2 linked regions of the Lonchura striata genome follow. The protein of the gene in region 2 interacts with the protein of the main gene of each other region in a pairwise test. Links are inferred from orthologs where the notes say so. Each region holds a gene or a part of one and is shown on either strand. Other genes may lie near its edges.

The links. The genes of interacting proteins can lie anywhere in the genome.
Region 1: the proteins of TEX11 (region 2) and HYI interact in binary tests that used the Homo sapiens proteins (3 or more experiments, as listed by UniProt). The two-hybrid records come from large-scale screens. The link is inferred for Lonchura striata from reciprocal best matches to the Homo sapiens genes TEX11 and HYI.

The regions. Positions count from the first base shown.
Region 1 is NC_134611.1:14,980,285-14,988,058, reverse strand, and holds HYI (putative hydroxypyruvate isomerase), read right to left. Parts: upstream 3,158-7,774; coding exon 2,962-3,157; intron 2,887-2,961; coding exon 2,775-2,886; intron 2,453-2,774; exon of another isoform or gene 1,681-2,452; coding exon 1,566-1,680; exon of another isoform or gene 1,421-1,565; coding exon 1,342-1,420; exon of another isoform or gene 1,217-1,341; coding exon 1,167-1,216; exon of another isoform or gene 991-1,166; coding exon 921-990; exon of another isoform or gene 746-920; coding exon 611-745; exon of another isoform or gene 430-610; coding exon 341-429; 3' UTR 297-340; downstream 1-296. UniProt on the Homo sapiens protein: Catalyzes the reversible isomerization between hydroxypyruvate and 2-hydroxy-3-oxopropanoate (also termed tartronate semialdehyde).
Region 2 is NC_134616.1:19,168,477-19,175,819, reverse strand, and holds the start of TEX11 (testis-expressed protein 11), read right to left. Parts: upstream 3,027-7,343; 5' UTR 3,002-3,026; coding exon 2,971-3,001; intron 2,878-2,970; coding exon 2,690-2,877; intron 715-2,689; coding exon 630-714; intron 1-629. Other genes in the region: nuclear cap-binding protein subunit 2, read left to right, coding at 3,236-3,322, 3,490-3,671, 4,450-4,588, 5,248-5,346. UniProt on the Homo sapiens protein: Regulator of crossing-over during meiosis. Involved in initiation and/or maintenance of chromosome synapsis and formation of crossovers.

The DNA of each region.
Region 1 (7,774 bases), on a different chromosome or scaffold from region 2:
AACTTCAGGCACCAGCTGGAATGCTCCCCTTATTGGGGAGACTGGAAACCTCTTCTTGGACACTCCTGCAGCCTGGAAGTGAAAGTTTTCTCTGTACCTGAAGTGGTACAGTGGTGCCTGAGCCATCACTAAATTGAACACACTACAAGTGGTACTTCTGTAGATGAGGGCTCAACAGCTTGGGCTGGCCCAGTAAAGCCTGGGGAAGGGAAATGACAAAGATGCTCCTAATCTCATTCTAGGTAATCATCCCACCCACCACACTCCCCTAGTCCTAGAGAAGACACATGCTCCTCTGATAAGCCATTGTTTTGTCTTTTATTCTCATGGTTTTCTAGTTTTACTTGGCTGCCTTGCTGGTCCCACCATGCTGCAGCCCTCGGCTTTCCCAGTAGGATCGCAGCCAGCCCAGACCTTCCAGGGTGTCTCCTGCAGTAACAGACAAGGTCTCCTGCTGCAGCTGGAGCAACTTCTGTTCAGGACAGAGCCCTCATCCCCAGGTAGGGATGACACCCTGTGCCTCCCAGGACCTGCCTGTCTTTGCACAGTATGTAGCCAGCTGGTCTGTGCTTGGACTGCCCGTAGGGCTCAGACCTGCAGGTCTACTCACCCTTCGGAGCATACTCGCACCCCACATAGCCAGTGTAGCCAAGGGACTCCAGGAGCTCAAAGATGTAGGGGAAGTTCAACTCCCCAGGGCTATCGGGCTCGTGCCGCCCTGGGACCTGTGCAATCTGGATATGACCTAGCGGGGAAAGGGGAGAGGCCATGCCTAAGGCAGCCCTGCTTGCAGCCTTCTTTGGCCATGAGACAAGGTGACCCAAGATCAGCCCCACACCCTCAGCCAGCTACAGCAGAGCCTGGAGTAGGAGGGCCCCCTCTCAAAACCACTCCCCAGTGGTCTGGGCACAGGGTATTACCGATGAGTGGGAAGTACGTCTCCAGGTTGTGTGACAAATTGCCATCCATGATCTGGCAGTGAAAAAGGTCCTGGGGGCGAGAGAGGAAAATGGAGGGTGCAGCTGATCAACTGTGAGCGGTTAAGGACAGCTGTGCTTTAATCCCTGTCCAGTATCCCCAAGGGGATCTAACAAGGCCATGGCCACCAGAATTCCTTTGTGGACCTGTGCAAGTTTCTCTCATGGAGAGCTTCAATGCTGACTCACCAGCTGCAGCTTCAGGTTGGGCCGTCCCACTTTCTCCAGAATGGCAGCAGCTAAGGGGGCAAAAAATGAGAAACCATGGCCCCAGGGTGGAAGCTTTGCAGAGAAACCCCAGGACCCCCTTTATCAACTGTGGAGATCCTTCTCCTCTGAAGGAGACTTTTGTTGTCTGGTTTACCTTGGTGTGGGGTGTTCAGATAGTAGCGAGGGTCAGTGATACGGTTGTTAATAGGCTCCAGCAGTCCAATCATGTCTTCCTGTAAACAGTAATGTCACCCTGAGGAGCATCCTGTTATTTCTGCAGCAGGAAGCATAACTTCCCTATGCCAGGCTGGTGGGCTATTCCCCATCTTGGGTATCCTAAGAACTGCACGTACAAAGCAGGACCCATTCCCCACTTACCTGGGACAGGAGGTCAGCAGTGTATCTGAGATTCTCAATGAAGGTGGTTTCCATCTCACCTGCAACTGCAGCCCGGTCTGTGCCCAAGGGAACCCGCCCAGCCATCACATGAATCCTACAGGCACAGAAAGATAATCACAGGCAGCAACTGTGAGCAGCTGGCCTGATCTAATACACCTTCCTTTACTGATGGAAAAGGGGGCCAGGCTGGGGGAGCAGACACAGAAAGGGGTAAGAAGATCCATCTCTCCTCCAGGAGGCACAACAGCAGCCAGCTGCCAGCCAGGACACAAATATGCTCCATTCCACCTCAATCCACAGAGGGATGACTTTGAACCTTTTGCCTGACAAACTACAGACCTTACTTCTTCTCTCTTTTGTTAACTGCTTTCAGCTCTTTCACCCTGACTCTGAAGCTTTTTGGGCTCTTGCTTCTTGAGGAGCCCCAAACCAGCATGTTGGGCAACTGGCATGCTACTTCTGCCAGGGGCCTGCCCTCTGCGTGGTGTCACTGCTTGCTGGCTGTGAGCAGGGAGGGGACAGTGCTGCCTGCTGGACTGCCCTGCCATGAAGAGCTCAAGCACCAGGCCATCTTCAGCCACTACTGGGGGAAGGAACACAGTAGAAACAAAAACCTTTTCAGTGTGCCTGTACCAGTGTGCAAATGGTGCTGGGCAGCCTCTGGGCTGCCTAGCCCATGCCCTCCACAGGGCTTTGGACTGAGTTGCAACCGAAAAGAATGGTCCAAAGTAAGGGGAATAAAAGGGCCCTGTTGGTTTGCTGAAGGGGGAGCTGTGCCAGGCTAATTGCATCTTTTATGGTGTCTCTGCTAGTGCTGGAGTCAGCGTGGCCTCAATAAAGCAACTGTTGTGGTGTCCTGGTGGAAACGACTGGTGCAGTTGAGGAGGAAAAAGGGAGGATTATCCTGAGGACGGTTGTGTGGAGGTGGGAGCCTACTCAAGAGCCTCTACTGCGAAGGGCAGGGTCAGGCTCGTGCCTGGCAGCTCTGGGCCCGCTCCCGGCGAGCACGCCGAGGCCGCGGCCCCGCACAGCGGGGTCTGCCCGAGCTGGCTCCTTCCCCACGCAGCCGAGCAGGAGATGCTGCCCGGGAGAGGCTCGGTGACCCGGCGGCGGCAGGCACCGCGGGGCAAAGGGCAGGAGCGCTGGAGCAGGACCGCAGCCGGGGCCGGGGTCCCGCCTCGCACCTACCTGGGGCAGCCCACAGCCCTGGCGTAGCGCACGGCCGCCTCCAGGCCCTGTCGGAAGGCAGCCTGCCGCCCCGGCACGGCCGCCAGCCCCAGCTCGCCCGCCTCCGGGTCCCCTGGGAGAGAGCGGCAGGGTCGGCGGAGGGTCCTCGCTCCCCTCGCACGGGGGGAGCGGCGGGCCGCGGCCGTACCGGGGGGGGCGTTGAGGAGCGCGATCTGCACCCGCGCCCGCTCCGCCGCGGCCCGCAGCTCCTGGGCCGGGCAGCCCGCCGGCCAAGCCGCCTCCACCGCTCCGAACCCGGCGGCCGCCGCCGCTTCCAGCCGCGCCGGCAGCGCCGGCAGCTCGGGGAAGAGCCATGAGAGGTTGGCGGAGAAGCGCAGCGCCATGGCGGCGGGGCGGGGCGGGGCGGGCCTGGGCGGCGCTCCCGGGGCGCTCCGGGCCCCGCGTCCCGCCCGGACAGCCCCGGCCCGGCCCGGCCCGGGAGCGCAGCGAGCGCCCTCGGCGGCGGCAGTGCTGGGCCGAGGGCTCCGGGACGTGCCCGCGGCCGTGGGCGAGCGGCCCCACGCCGCGCCCCCGCGGGCAGAGACGGCTTCGTGCCGCCTGTGACACGCGTGGGGTTCCCGGCTGCGCCTGAGGGTCTGCGGGACAGAGCCGTGCTGGGGCCGCATGGAGCTGCTGCTGGAATTCCACGCGGCTGGAATTCACTCTGGGAAAGGGGGGTTTGCCAGGTGTTGGCCTGACACACGCGAAGCGCCCTCTTAATTGGTTTCCTGGGGAGCTTGTCTCTGACAGAGTCTCATTATGCGAGAAAGGCTCTCTCCTTTTGTCCCATGCTCTGCATATTTTACCATAAAATGTTCCTCTCCGCTTCTGCAGAGCTGTGGCTCGGGCGTGCAGCAGCGTGACCCCGGCGGTGCCCGCAGGAGCCCCGCGCCCCCAGTGCCCATTCCCCTGCTCCGTGTGTCCCCCCGCGCTCCCGCAGGCTGCGCGGGCGGGGTGCGTGTCCTGCCCTGCCCGTGCCCGGGGCTCTGCCGTGCCTGACAGAACGGGTACCGTAAGCCGTGGACATTTTGCAGCCCCTTGTGTTTCAGCTTGTTCCTGGGGGCTCCTACCCCGTGCTGGGGGAGCCCCGCACGGTCCGAGCCCTCTGTCACTGCTGCAGTAGCCCTCTGCAGCCCCAGGCAACGGCAAGCCCCAGGAATTCGCTGTGCTGTGGGAGCACAGCCTGGGCAGAGGCCAGGCCACAGCAACAGGTTTTTGGTGGGGGGTCAGTGTGGGGTAGTGCTGGCGAAGGGGATAACAGTGGTGAAGTTACCCACTAAGGAGTCTCAACTCAATTAAAGCTATTGATTAATCAATTAGAAGAGGCTTGACTCAACTTCTCAGTAACAGTCCAAACTGTCAATTGCAGGGAGTGGCAACCATGTCCTCGGGTTGCAAAGAGGCCAAGAGACGAAAAGCCTGTCCACGGGATCCAGCACCAACCTCCTCCAGACCCGCCTCCCCAGTGTAACCCCACGGCAGCTGTGCCCTGAGCCCCATCACCCCTGGTGGGTGTCCCTCCCTGCTTCCCGGTATTGGGGCAGGCTTTGCAGAGTGATGTGATGTGGCTGGCTGTATGTATATGCCCAGCTCTCCTCCTTATCCAGCACACATGTCCCCAGGACACAGACTGCTCCCTGCCGGCAGCTGCCATGCCAGGGGAGTGCTGCACCTTATACATATCCTGTGGCCTCATTCTGTGGTGCACAGGGGTTGTCATCCTCTTCAGTCTTTTCCAGGAGGCACCTGAGTGCAGGTGGGTGGATTGCAGAGCTGCACAGTCATTGGAATCCCTAGAAAGAAAGCTGGTACCTGCCTGGCCTGGGGCTGCAGCCTCGCTGTGTCCTTGCACCTCAGAAAGGCATTCACTGAGGCCATGCATCGCCCCAGCAGCCCTGGTTACATCTCCAGCTGGAGCCCAGGCCCCTGACAGGGTCAAAGCCCAGGAGTCAGTGTGTGGGAGCAGGAAAGCTTTGCTGGGTGGGGGTGTCAGTGAATAAACACAGAACTGAGCCCCAGCATGTGAGTGACCTGAGCAACCAGATGGGAATGCACAGAGCCTTCATGTAAACCTGCCCTGCGATGGCAGGTGAAGCTGAGGGCTCTGCGCTGAAGCATTAATAGCATCTTTATGTCCCTGGTAATATATTGCATTGATTTTCTCATGTTATAACTGCAGTTCCTGCATTGCAGGCCGGTGTTTTGTCACTTTACCTTGACAGGACGCTGAGGATTTACTCCCTGCCGTGGCACACACAGCTCTGGAGCCGTGTCTCACACTGCTGCTGGGGCCTGTGCTCAGCAGCCTCTGTTGAGGGGCTGGCACAATGAGCATGGGGTCAGATGGACCCCGTATCTCCAAGGAAGATGAGGAGGGGCCCAAGGAGGGTGCTGGAGAGGGAGAGCAGCTCTGTACCAAGCATCTCTGCTGCTGCCCAGGAGTTTTATTAGCCTGAAGAAAATGTAGCTTCTCCACATTTTATTGTCGAGCTGACATTTCGTTGCAGACCCAGCTCTGGCCTCTGTGATGGCTGGGATGGGGAGATGGCAGTGCCTCGGGGTGCCCTGCAGTGCCAACAGCAGAAGCCAAGCCAGCCCCCCACCCTGAGCCCACTGAAGTGGGGACACCAGTCCTCCCAGTACCCCATAATTCTCTCATCTCATTTTACTACAGGGCAGGTTTTATCTTTCTCCTTTATGAAAGATGTTTTAATTTAAATTGACATTTCTGTATTGTAACTGTCTGTCCCAGGTGGCCCAGCTGGCCCCCTGAGGGCCGTGAGGGATGAGGTGCTGTGGGCTGGGGTGTCTGGATGGCGCCATCCCACTGACACTTCTTACCCCATCCCTCTTGGGCACCCCCAGACCTGTCCCATTTCCCCCTGCACCTTGTGGCTGTGCAAGGGAATCCAGGGCTCAGACTGAAAGAGGGCATCCCAAGCATCTCTTCCCCACAAGCTTTCTTCTCTCCTCCAAAGCACCCCAATATTTTGCAGCCATATTTGGATTTTGGCTTTTATAGGGAGTAAATTCTAACCTCTTTATGTGTAAAAAAGGTCTGGGAAAAATAATCCACATGTGACCCAGCATCTTGTGGAGGCAGCTGCGGGAGTTTTGCTTGTATTAAATCTCATGATTTTTCACCAAAGATGGTCTTCCTTAAACCTGTGCCCTCGGGATGCAAAGGGGCCAAGAGATAAAAAGCCTCTCCACAGGACCAGCACCAGCCCAGCCCCACCTCCCCACCTGTACACTGAGACCAGTGTAACCCCATGGCAGCTGTGCCCTGAGCCCCATCACCCCTGCTGGGTTCCCTCCCAGCTCCCCGGTGTTGGGGCAGGCTTTGCAGAGTGATGAGACGTGGCTGGCTGCATGTATCTGCCCAGCTCCCTGCCTTACCCAGAATCCCACCTGAGTTTCTTGGACCTCCTTGTTTTCACAGCCGTGGGCACCAGTGGTGGTTTGACTCAAGGACCTGGCACTGAAGAGAGGTGGCAGCCCTGGTGCCTGCTGAGGACTCCTTCTGGGATTCTGACTTGACTCTGTCAAGTCCTCCTCTGCTTAACCTGGTCAGTGCATACTGTACAGAGTTAATTTGTTAATTACTGTCTTTCTGCTGCTGAGCCACCTGTTTTCTGCTGTTGAAGTCTGCTGTGCCCTTCAGCCACTTTTCTTGCTCAGTTTCCACCTCCTAAAATGAAGAAGCTACCTTCTGCTGCTAATGATGGGGGAGCAGGACTGTGCCACAGATGGAACTTGCTCTGGTCCTATGGGGTCCTCCCTCCTGGACCCCCTCTCTCCTCCTCCTCTTCCTCTTCATCTTTGCCTTCTTATTCTATTTCTTCGCCCTCCTCTGCTCCTTCCCCTCCATTCCTCCAGCCCCTTTACATCTCCTCCCTTCCCCTGTTCCCCTATCCCCTCTGCCCTTCTGTCCCCCCCATTTTTCTGGTTGCAGGCACTGCACAGCACATGAGAAATGCAGGGAAAGATGGCAGTGCCTCCCAAAGCTGTGACAGAGGTTCCTGAAGGGTGCCTTAATGAGCACATTTTCCAGCTCAAGCCTCACTTTCTTGCAACCTCCAAAAATACATGAATATACAGAAAATCTATATACCAAGTTATGGGAAAGAAAAGCCCAACCTTTGCCAACTTACGGCTATTCTTCATCAAGAAGGATTGTACTGGGTGCAAACATGATATAAATCCCAGCAGAGCCAAGTTAAGGACTGAGCACCCCTGCCTCCCTGCAGCTCCCAGCATGGGTGGGCTCTCCATCAGCTGGCCAGGATTTTCTTGCTATTCCAAGATTTCGTAGGAAATTAATGAGGAAGCCAAATTCTCCTCCAGCTCTTGGAGGAGGCCGGGGCGGGCGGTGCCTGGGCCCGCTGAGCTGGCAGATGTTGTTTAACATTCCCGGCAGTAATTAATAGGCGGTTTCATCACTCTTGTACAATTCAAGCATGTCGTCCTGCTTCTCTCCAAATACAGAGCAGAAATATTTGTTAAACGTGGCTGGTATTTTCGCCTCATCATTAGTGCTCGAGCGGCTCCAGCCGCTCCAGGATTTATTGCCGTGCCAAAATTTCTTTTGGCCTCATGATGCTGCCACTATCCCTCCCTCTACTGCTGGCCCCTCCTGTCAAGAGGCTTCCTTTATCATTTTCCATTTGATTGATGTCCTGCTGGTTGCACCCTCTCCTTTACATCATGATTATGGATTCCTCCCTTTTCTATTCATTACATAGCAGGAGGATGGGCTTTGGCCAAACCATTTCCCTGACCAGGGCACCTTGTGGAATTCAACCCAGAAAGGGTCTGCAGGGATCACTCCCACTACCCAGCACCCATGCTGGGATGAAGGGGAAGGGGTCCCCTGGGGATGCTTCACCACCCACAGCGTCCAGGTGGGCTGGTGAGGCCATCCCAAGCAATGACGTATGTGGGGACACAGTCTGGGTTGG
Region 2 (7,343 bases):
TTATACATCATTTTGACTATAATCCCTCAGGACAAGAATGTAGGCTTGACACTGCAATCCCACAAAACCACAGAAAGAACACACTAAGGCAAAATCCCAAAAGCTCATTTCTGCTTTCCCCCAGCCCTGCCCCTGGCCCAAGAGAACCTACCAGCTGTGCACCTGGCTAAAGCAGGTCAATAAAAAGAGGACTTAGAATGTTTCTGTATGTAAACGTGGATGAGATTGTTTTTTTAATGTAACTATCTCACTTGATATAAATTAAGTGACCAACGGTCTAAAATTTATCTGTGTTATTTCCATACATTTTTAGATTTGAACCACAGTCTCAGAAGGCAAATTACAGCTTCCTTTGGTCTCATCACCTCCTTACTGGTGCTCTGGCATGGAAAGGAGAGTGATAAAAATGCCTACACTGATTCTGTGTCACAAGAAGATAAGTATTGCATTAGGATGCTTCTTCTTGAACTGTTTATACAAGCCCACCAGTACATTTTTGTCTTTCTAGACCATGTCTACAAAGGCTCAAACAAATCTACAGCACTACTTATGTGCCTGGCAGCAGAGAGTGTTTAGTTTCCATGCTACAGCACATAGAACACCTTTAGGAAGGTACAGAACATACATACGTTTGGCTCTTTGCTCATCACTGATAACAGCAGCTGTGTGTTTGGTCACAGTCCAGTTCCACAAGCTGACTGCACTCTCTTCAACCTGAAGGGGAGAATTCCACTCAATTAAATTTTGTCCCGGATATGGATCCAATTGAAATTTACTACTGAAAAATAAGCATCTTTCATGTGTTTCACAGGAATGGCCTCTCCAAGTGTTTGTCAACTTCCGTTTACACCAGAGTGAAAGGTGTGAGCTTTCCATAAAACTGTCACAGGATCCCACAGGACATGCTGGACAGTGACCTGAAAACAGGCATGCTGAATGGATGCAGCATTTCTTCACCTAAAATCTGAAGGGGTTGGAAAAGAACTCTAAGAATTCTTATCACATTTGAGAACGACCTGTAGTAAGGCTTCACCTCTTTTGCACATCAAAAAGAACACTAAGTAGCTTAATTACTTTAAATACCTACACTGGGAAACTTTGGATATTAGCAAACAAAGAACAAAGGTTACTGAGTATATACTCTTGTTCAAAAGATACAACACTACATAAAAGCAATAATCTGCTTTAGCAACCCACCTGAGGGGCTGCATTTTCCATCACTTTATTCTACTTTTCATGAGAGATCTTGCCTATCTAGGAGAGAGTTCATAGCCCCTCTTATTGAAGTGGCCAGATTACAAATGAATGATTTCTCCTTTCTTCAAAAATAATTTACCCCAATTGACTCAGGAAGAACTTAAGGATAGCACTTTTATGCTCTTGTATTTCTTTACAAACTGTACTATTGACACTTTCTGCTACACCTGCTAACTTATTTTGCTCCTTGTTGCAAATTTAGGACTTCCAAAACCAGTGTTCCTTAGCTGATAATTGCTACTTATTAAATGTCTCTTGAAAATATAATTTTAGAGGAAGAAGCTGGACTATATCTCAGCTGGTCTTCTTCCTTATTTCAGATTCATATATTACCAGATTTCTCTTTGAAAAAAGAGTTTTAAAAGTAATGTTTACTTCTTTCTAAGTACTCCTCTAGGAGAAATAAACAGAAGGAAAAAGCAAACATTATGAACAACCATCTGATAAACTTTAGCAAGGACTGAAAATTAGTACCTCAAATATAATATTGTGTACTGGAATATTGTTTACCAGGCAGTTAAAATTACATGCTTGCTTGTTTTCTTCTTCCTTGGGTTATCTGCTGTCACTATGGGAATCCACAGACAAGGTGAGAAGGGCCTCTCCTCTGATCCAGTACCAAATGCTTAATGCATCAGTGCTCTCTGCTTCCATTTTTCCTTGAAATTACAACTAGATACTACTAGTAGTTTGAAATAATATATACCTTAACAGCACAAGTAACCAGTATTTTTTCCCATTATTATCATAGAATGGATGGGTTGGAAGTGACCTTAAAGACAAGCCAGTTCCAATACCTTTCACCAGACCAGGTTGCTCCAAGCCCTGTCCAACCTAGCCTTGGACACTTCCAGGGATGGGGCAGCCACAGCTGCTCTGGGCAACCTGTTGCCAGGGCCTCCCCACCCTCACAGTATATTACTAATATCTAATCTAAGTCAACCTACTTTCAATGTAAAGCCATTTCCCCTTTTCCTATTACTTCAAGCCCTTGGCCAAAGTCCTCCTCCAGCTCTCTTGGAACCCCTTTAGGCACTAAAGGTGCTGTAAGTTCTCCCCAGAGCCTTCTCTTCTGGCTGAACTCGATCTGCCTTTCCCAGGAGAGGTGCTCCAGCCCTTCAGTCACCTTCATGACTTCCTCCAGCAGGTCCACATCCTTCTGATGCTGGTGACCCCAGACCTGAACACAGTATCCAGGTGGGGTCTCATGAGAGCAGAGTTACTGACACACATATTTTTACATTCAAGATCATTTCACATTGACTTTTAAAAATAACATTTCCCACTTTATTTTGGACTTTTACGCTATTGGGGCAAATGACGAAGAAGTGAACTCTTTTCTTTACGTTTCAGTAGTGTTACACTTTTAGCCTCACCGCCAAGGATGGGAAGCAGCAGCAGCAGCTGGTGTTTAGGGAGCTGCAGCACCAACCTGGGCCAGGGCTGTGGGGTGCGAAGCACATGCACGCCCCGTTTCTTCAGACGGGCTGGGAGCGGGGGACTCTCCCTCCGCCACCTTCCCATCCCCTTCAGAGATGCTCTCCGCCGCCTGGAACAGCTCCTCCGCGAGGGCAGCAATGCGGGACGGCGCCTCTTCCCTCAGCAGCTCCTGCACCAGCGCTGTAAGACAGGAGGACAGCGGGGCATGACACGCAGCCCAACGTCAGCCGCCAGGGGCGGCGCTTATCGGGGAGAGCCCAGGGCCCACAGCACCTTCCGCGGCCGCCGCCCGCGGCCCCGCCATGGCCCCTCAGCGGGAGCGCTGCGCCCCGCACTGCGCCTGCGCGCCCCAGCCCAGCGCTCCAGGCGGGCCCCCGAGCTGCCGATTGGCTGTCCGGCGGCTCCGCCCCGCCCCCGCCTGAGTGACAGCCGGCGCGGCCAATCGCGCGGGGCGGGAGCGGCGTTTCTCGCGCGCCGCTCCCCGCGTCCGGCGCGCGGCGGTTCTGGAAGGATCCCGGCGGTGGGGCCGGCGGGCGCCATGTCGGGGCTGCTGCACACCACGCTCAGCGGGCTCAACAGCGACTCGTACTGCGAGATCAGCCAGTACCGGGACCAGCACTTCCGGGTGCGCCCGGCGCCGCGGGTGGCGGGACCCGGCCCGGCCCGGCCGGGGCGGGGAGGGCTGAGGCCGGGGCAAGGCCGTGCGAGAAGCCGGGCAGCGGGAGGGCACGGGGCGGTAGGAGCGGGACGGCGAGCGCGCTGAGCCCGCGGCGTGCGCCTCTGTGCCCGCAGGGTAGCAGGCAGCTGCAGGAGAAATCCCTGAAGATTTCCTCCACGCTGTATGTCGGTAATCTCTCCTTCTACACCACCGAGGAGCAGATCCAGGAGCTGTTCTCCAAGTGCGGAGATGTCAAGAGAATTGTCATGGGTCTGGACAAGATCAAGAAAACCCCCTGTGGCTTCTGCTTTGTAGAGTATCCTTTCTGGTTCCCTTTTGTCAGTAGGGATGTGGTTGGCGCCTGTAGTTCCTCTGCACTGCAAGTGTATCTGTACTGCTGCTGGAAAGGTGATAGCCAAGTGCTTCCTACCAGGCACATCCCGTCCATCCTTGCCCCTTCCTCACTGTGCCCTGAGACCGATTGTGTAGTGGTGCCATACGTGACAAGTGCCACCAGAGCTGTAGTTTCTGGAGGCGGCAGAGAGCCCCTTTAATTCATTCGTTTAATGGTTTTATGGCCAGAATGAGAGCTGTTACATTCATCAGTCTGATGTCTTCCATGTCCAGAGCACGTTTACTTTCTTATCTCAACTTTACACCTGAAGGAAGTAGCTGGATAAGCCATGGGGGCGTTTTCAAGCAAAGGGTACATGCTTATACAGGTTGTGCCAGGAGCTGTCTATGCAGAGCTCTCCTGTGAAGCCTGCTCCTTTTGTTCTATTTCAGTCAAGCTTTACATAGTACAAAAAGGCATATTACTGATTTCTTGCCCTTAGCAAGGCTTTAATGTCTTGTTTCGTTGTCTTGTCTGTGCAGGTACTAACATTAAAGTACAGAATCCTTTCTGAGCCTTAGCTGGTCTTAGCTTAGATTTACATGAGTGCAGTTTTTGATCTCATAGAGAAGAGCAGGAAGAGTAGAAAAGGCTGGAAGGCAGTAGGGGGGGAGTTCTGCTTCTCAAATACAATACTTTCCCTGTTTTTTTTCCCTGTACCCAACAAAGCACACTTAGTTGTTCTTACAGAGTGCCTCAGATACTACACGAGAGCAGATGCTGAGCATGCCATGAGGTTTATCAACGGCACACGGCTGGACGACCGCATCATCCGCACGGACTGGGATGCAGGGTTTAAGGAGGGGCGACAGTATGGGAGAGGAAAGACTGGAGGACAGGTAAAGGCAATGCCAGTTCATCCCTGAATTTGATCCTCTAAGACTCCGTGTACTTACTTGCTGATTTTGTCCTAGGGAGAACAATGTGCAGGCTGTAAAGACCTGATAATGAAGTTTACTCACTCCCAGGTTGTTTTGGTAATTGACACCTGGTGTTAAAGGCTGGAAATAGAACTTAAGGCCACTTCTGTCTAGGACTCCAAAAGTCCTGCAATGCAAGCAGAATGTTCCCTAAACCAAGCTAGTACTTTTGAAATGATCCAGAATTTGAGTAGAGGGAAGCAGTGTGGCTGCCAGGCCAATCTCAATAACAGCAGTTTCCCCAAGGGCAAGGATGAGGTTTAGATGAGATAAAATGTTCTGAAGGCCAAATCTGGCAGTTCAAAAGGGTGTATGGAAAAGCTGAACAAAAATACTTTGGGGTCTTCTTTGCTTCTTACCTGAAAAATTCTCAACAATCAGATACATCCTTTTGGTCATTTTCACCACCATTACCACGTTTCTGGTGGATTAGTTGAAGAGATCTCAGACGAGTTGAAGTGCTTCTAATCTGAACTTCAGTTCCCCACCAACTGAACAAGGAGGGGATGATGATTCTGAAGTCTAGTAGGGGACAGGCAGTGCTGGCTATTAATACATGTGTTGTTGCTGTGCCCCAGGTGCGAGATGAATACCGGACAGACTACGATGTGGGAAGAGGTGGCTTTGGCAAGATCATTCAGATGCAGAAGGCAAATCACCAGCCTGCAATCTATTAATTGCTTCATGATTCCTAGCTCACAGAGGACTCTGTCCTTCCAGAGCTAGCCCTGTTCTCACATTTGGGTTCAGGGTATGGAGTGAAATCCAAGTTCCTGCAAAAGGTGACTCTCCTTAGACTGCAGATATACATGTGTTCATTCTCCCTTCTTTCTGAGCTAGAGGGGATGTTCTGTGCTGATACAGGGCAACAAGGGAAAAATGGACAGCTCTGTAGGATTTTGGGCAAGAAGAAATGTAGCATGTCACACACATCTTATGCTATGACATACTCTTCGTGTTGCACTTAAGCAGGTGGCTTCCTCCAAGCTGCAGCTGCCACTGTGGTTGCTTTCAAACTGAACTTTTTTTAAAAGCTTGCCACCATTGGAGCCCTCCAGGTGCCTGGGCACCCAGTGAGGATGCACAAGAGATTCAGGTTTCTAATTTACAACCTTACCTGCTTAATAAACAGTATCACTGTCTGAATGAGAGAGAAGTGGACAAGGTCTTACGCGCTTGGAGGTGCTTGTCTGCACATCTAGCCCTTGGGTTGGTCAGGGCCTGCAGAACATTTCTCTTTGTGATGCCCCCAGTGCTGCCTTGCTTTTCGGATCCTCACTGTTCGGTGTGGTTTTGTTAAAAGTTTCTGGTTTTTTTTTTTTTTTTTTTTTTTAAATAAACAGTTGTTTTGGGTCTGACTGAGATTGTGTCTGACGGTAACTTTACCCCTAGCAGCCCTCATAGAGCTGTGTTTTGTATTGGTAGCTAGGAAGGTGTTGATAAAACACCAGTGTTTTGGCTTTTGTTCCCACAGCATCAAGGCTGTCTCTGACATTCCCACCTCACCAGCAGGCTGGGGTGGGGGCAAGATCTTGGGATATTCCAAACGATATGGCATCTGCTGAGCAGCAATAGCTAAGAGAAAGGACATGGGGGGCATTCCTTATTCAAACATCTGTCTTCTGGAGCAGCTGCTCTGTGTACTGAAGCTGTGCTTCCCAGGAGGTAGCCGGACATCTCCTGCTGGTTGAAAGTAGAGAATAAATATTTAGTTTTTCTTTGCTCCCACATGCAGCCTTGCTTTTGCTTTATTAAACTGTCTTTATCTTGGCCCACAAATTCCGTTCCCATCTTACTTTCTCCCTGCCCCGCTCCCACTGAGCAGGGATGTGAGAGAGCAGCTTGGTGGGTAGCTGGTGTCCAGGCAGGGTCAGCCCACCACAGTTTAGTGCCCAGTGTGGGGCCTGAGGCAATGGCTGTTCTGTGCTAAGTGTGCTTTAGCCATAGTAGTTACTAAGTAGGCAGCTCCTGTTGAGTCACGGTGTTTGTTGGCTGCATTTCTTATCTCTTTACTTTGCTGGGCTTTGGGAACATGTTAGTACAAACCATGGCTCTGTGCTTTGCCCTGGCACAGATGGCCTTGCTCTGCTGGGGGAGCTGCCTTGTGGAGAGGATCCCATTTCCCACTCCCACCTGGTGTGGGTGGCTTTATTGTTCCTGCTCAGCCTTACATGAGATGTTTAATACTAGTAATTAACACAGTTGACATATCATGGGGTCTGTGTATTCTGATGTCATCCTAATGTAAGAGAAGACAATTTTTTGGGTGAGTCAATACTGAAATGTGCCCTGAGGTGGCTGGTCCGTGGGTGGCAGGATTTGGGCAAGTGCCTGGGCTAGTTATCACCTCCCATAGCCTGGGACTCCACCTGAACAAGCAAGTAACCCTGGGAAACTGACATGCCAAAGGTGCCTACCCCAGTGAAAACCAGCAGGTTCTGGCACTGTACTGGGGCTTGGCATGTGCCTGCAAAGCCACAGTTCAGGGATGCCAGAGGGCTGTGTTTAACTCGGGAACCCCAGCCACCTCTGAGAGTAACTTGATTGAGACTGGGGACAAACTCCATCTGAGGTGATAGTAGAGATAGGGGCCCAAACAGGATCAACGATGCTTGCCCCAGTTGTGGAAAAAACCCAGTGGACAATGGGTCTGTATCACCAGTTATTAGGGGAG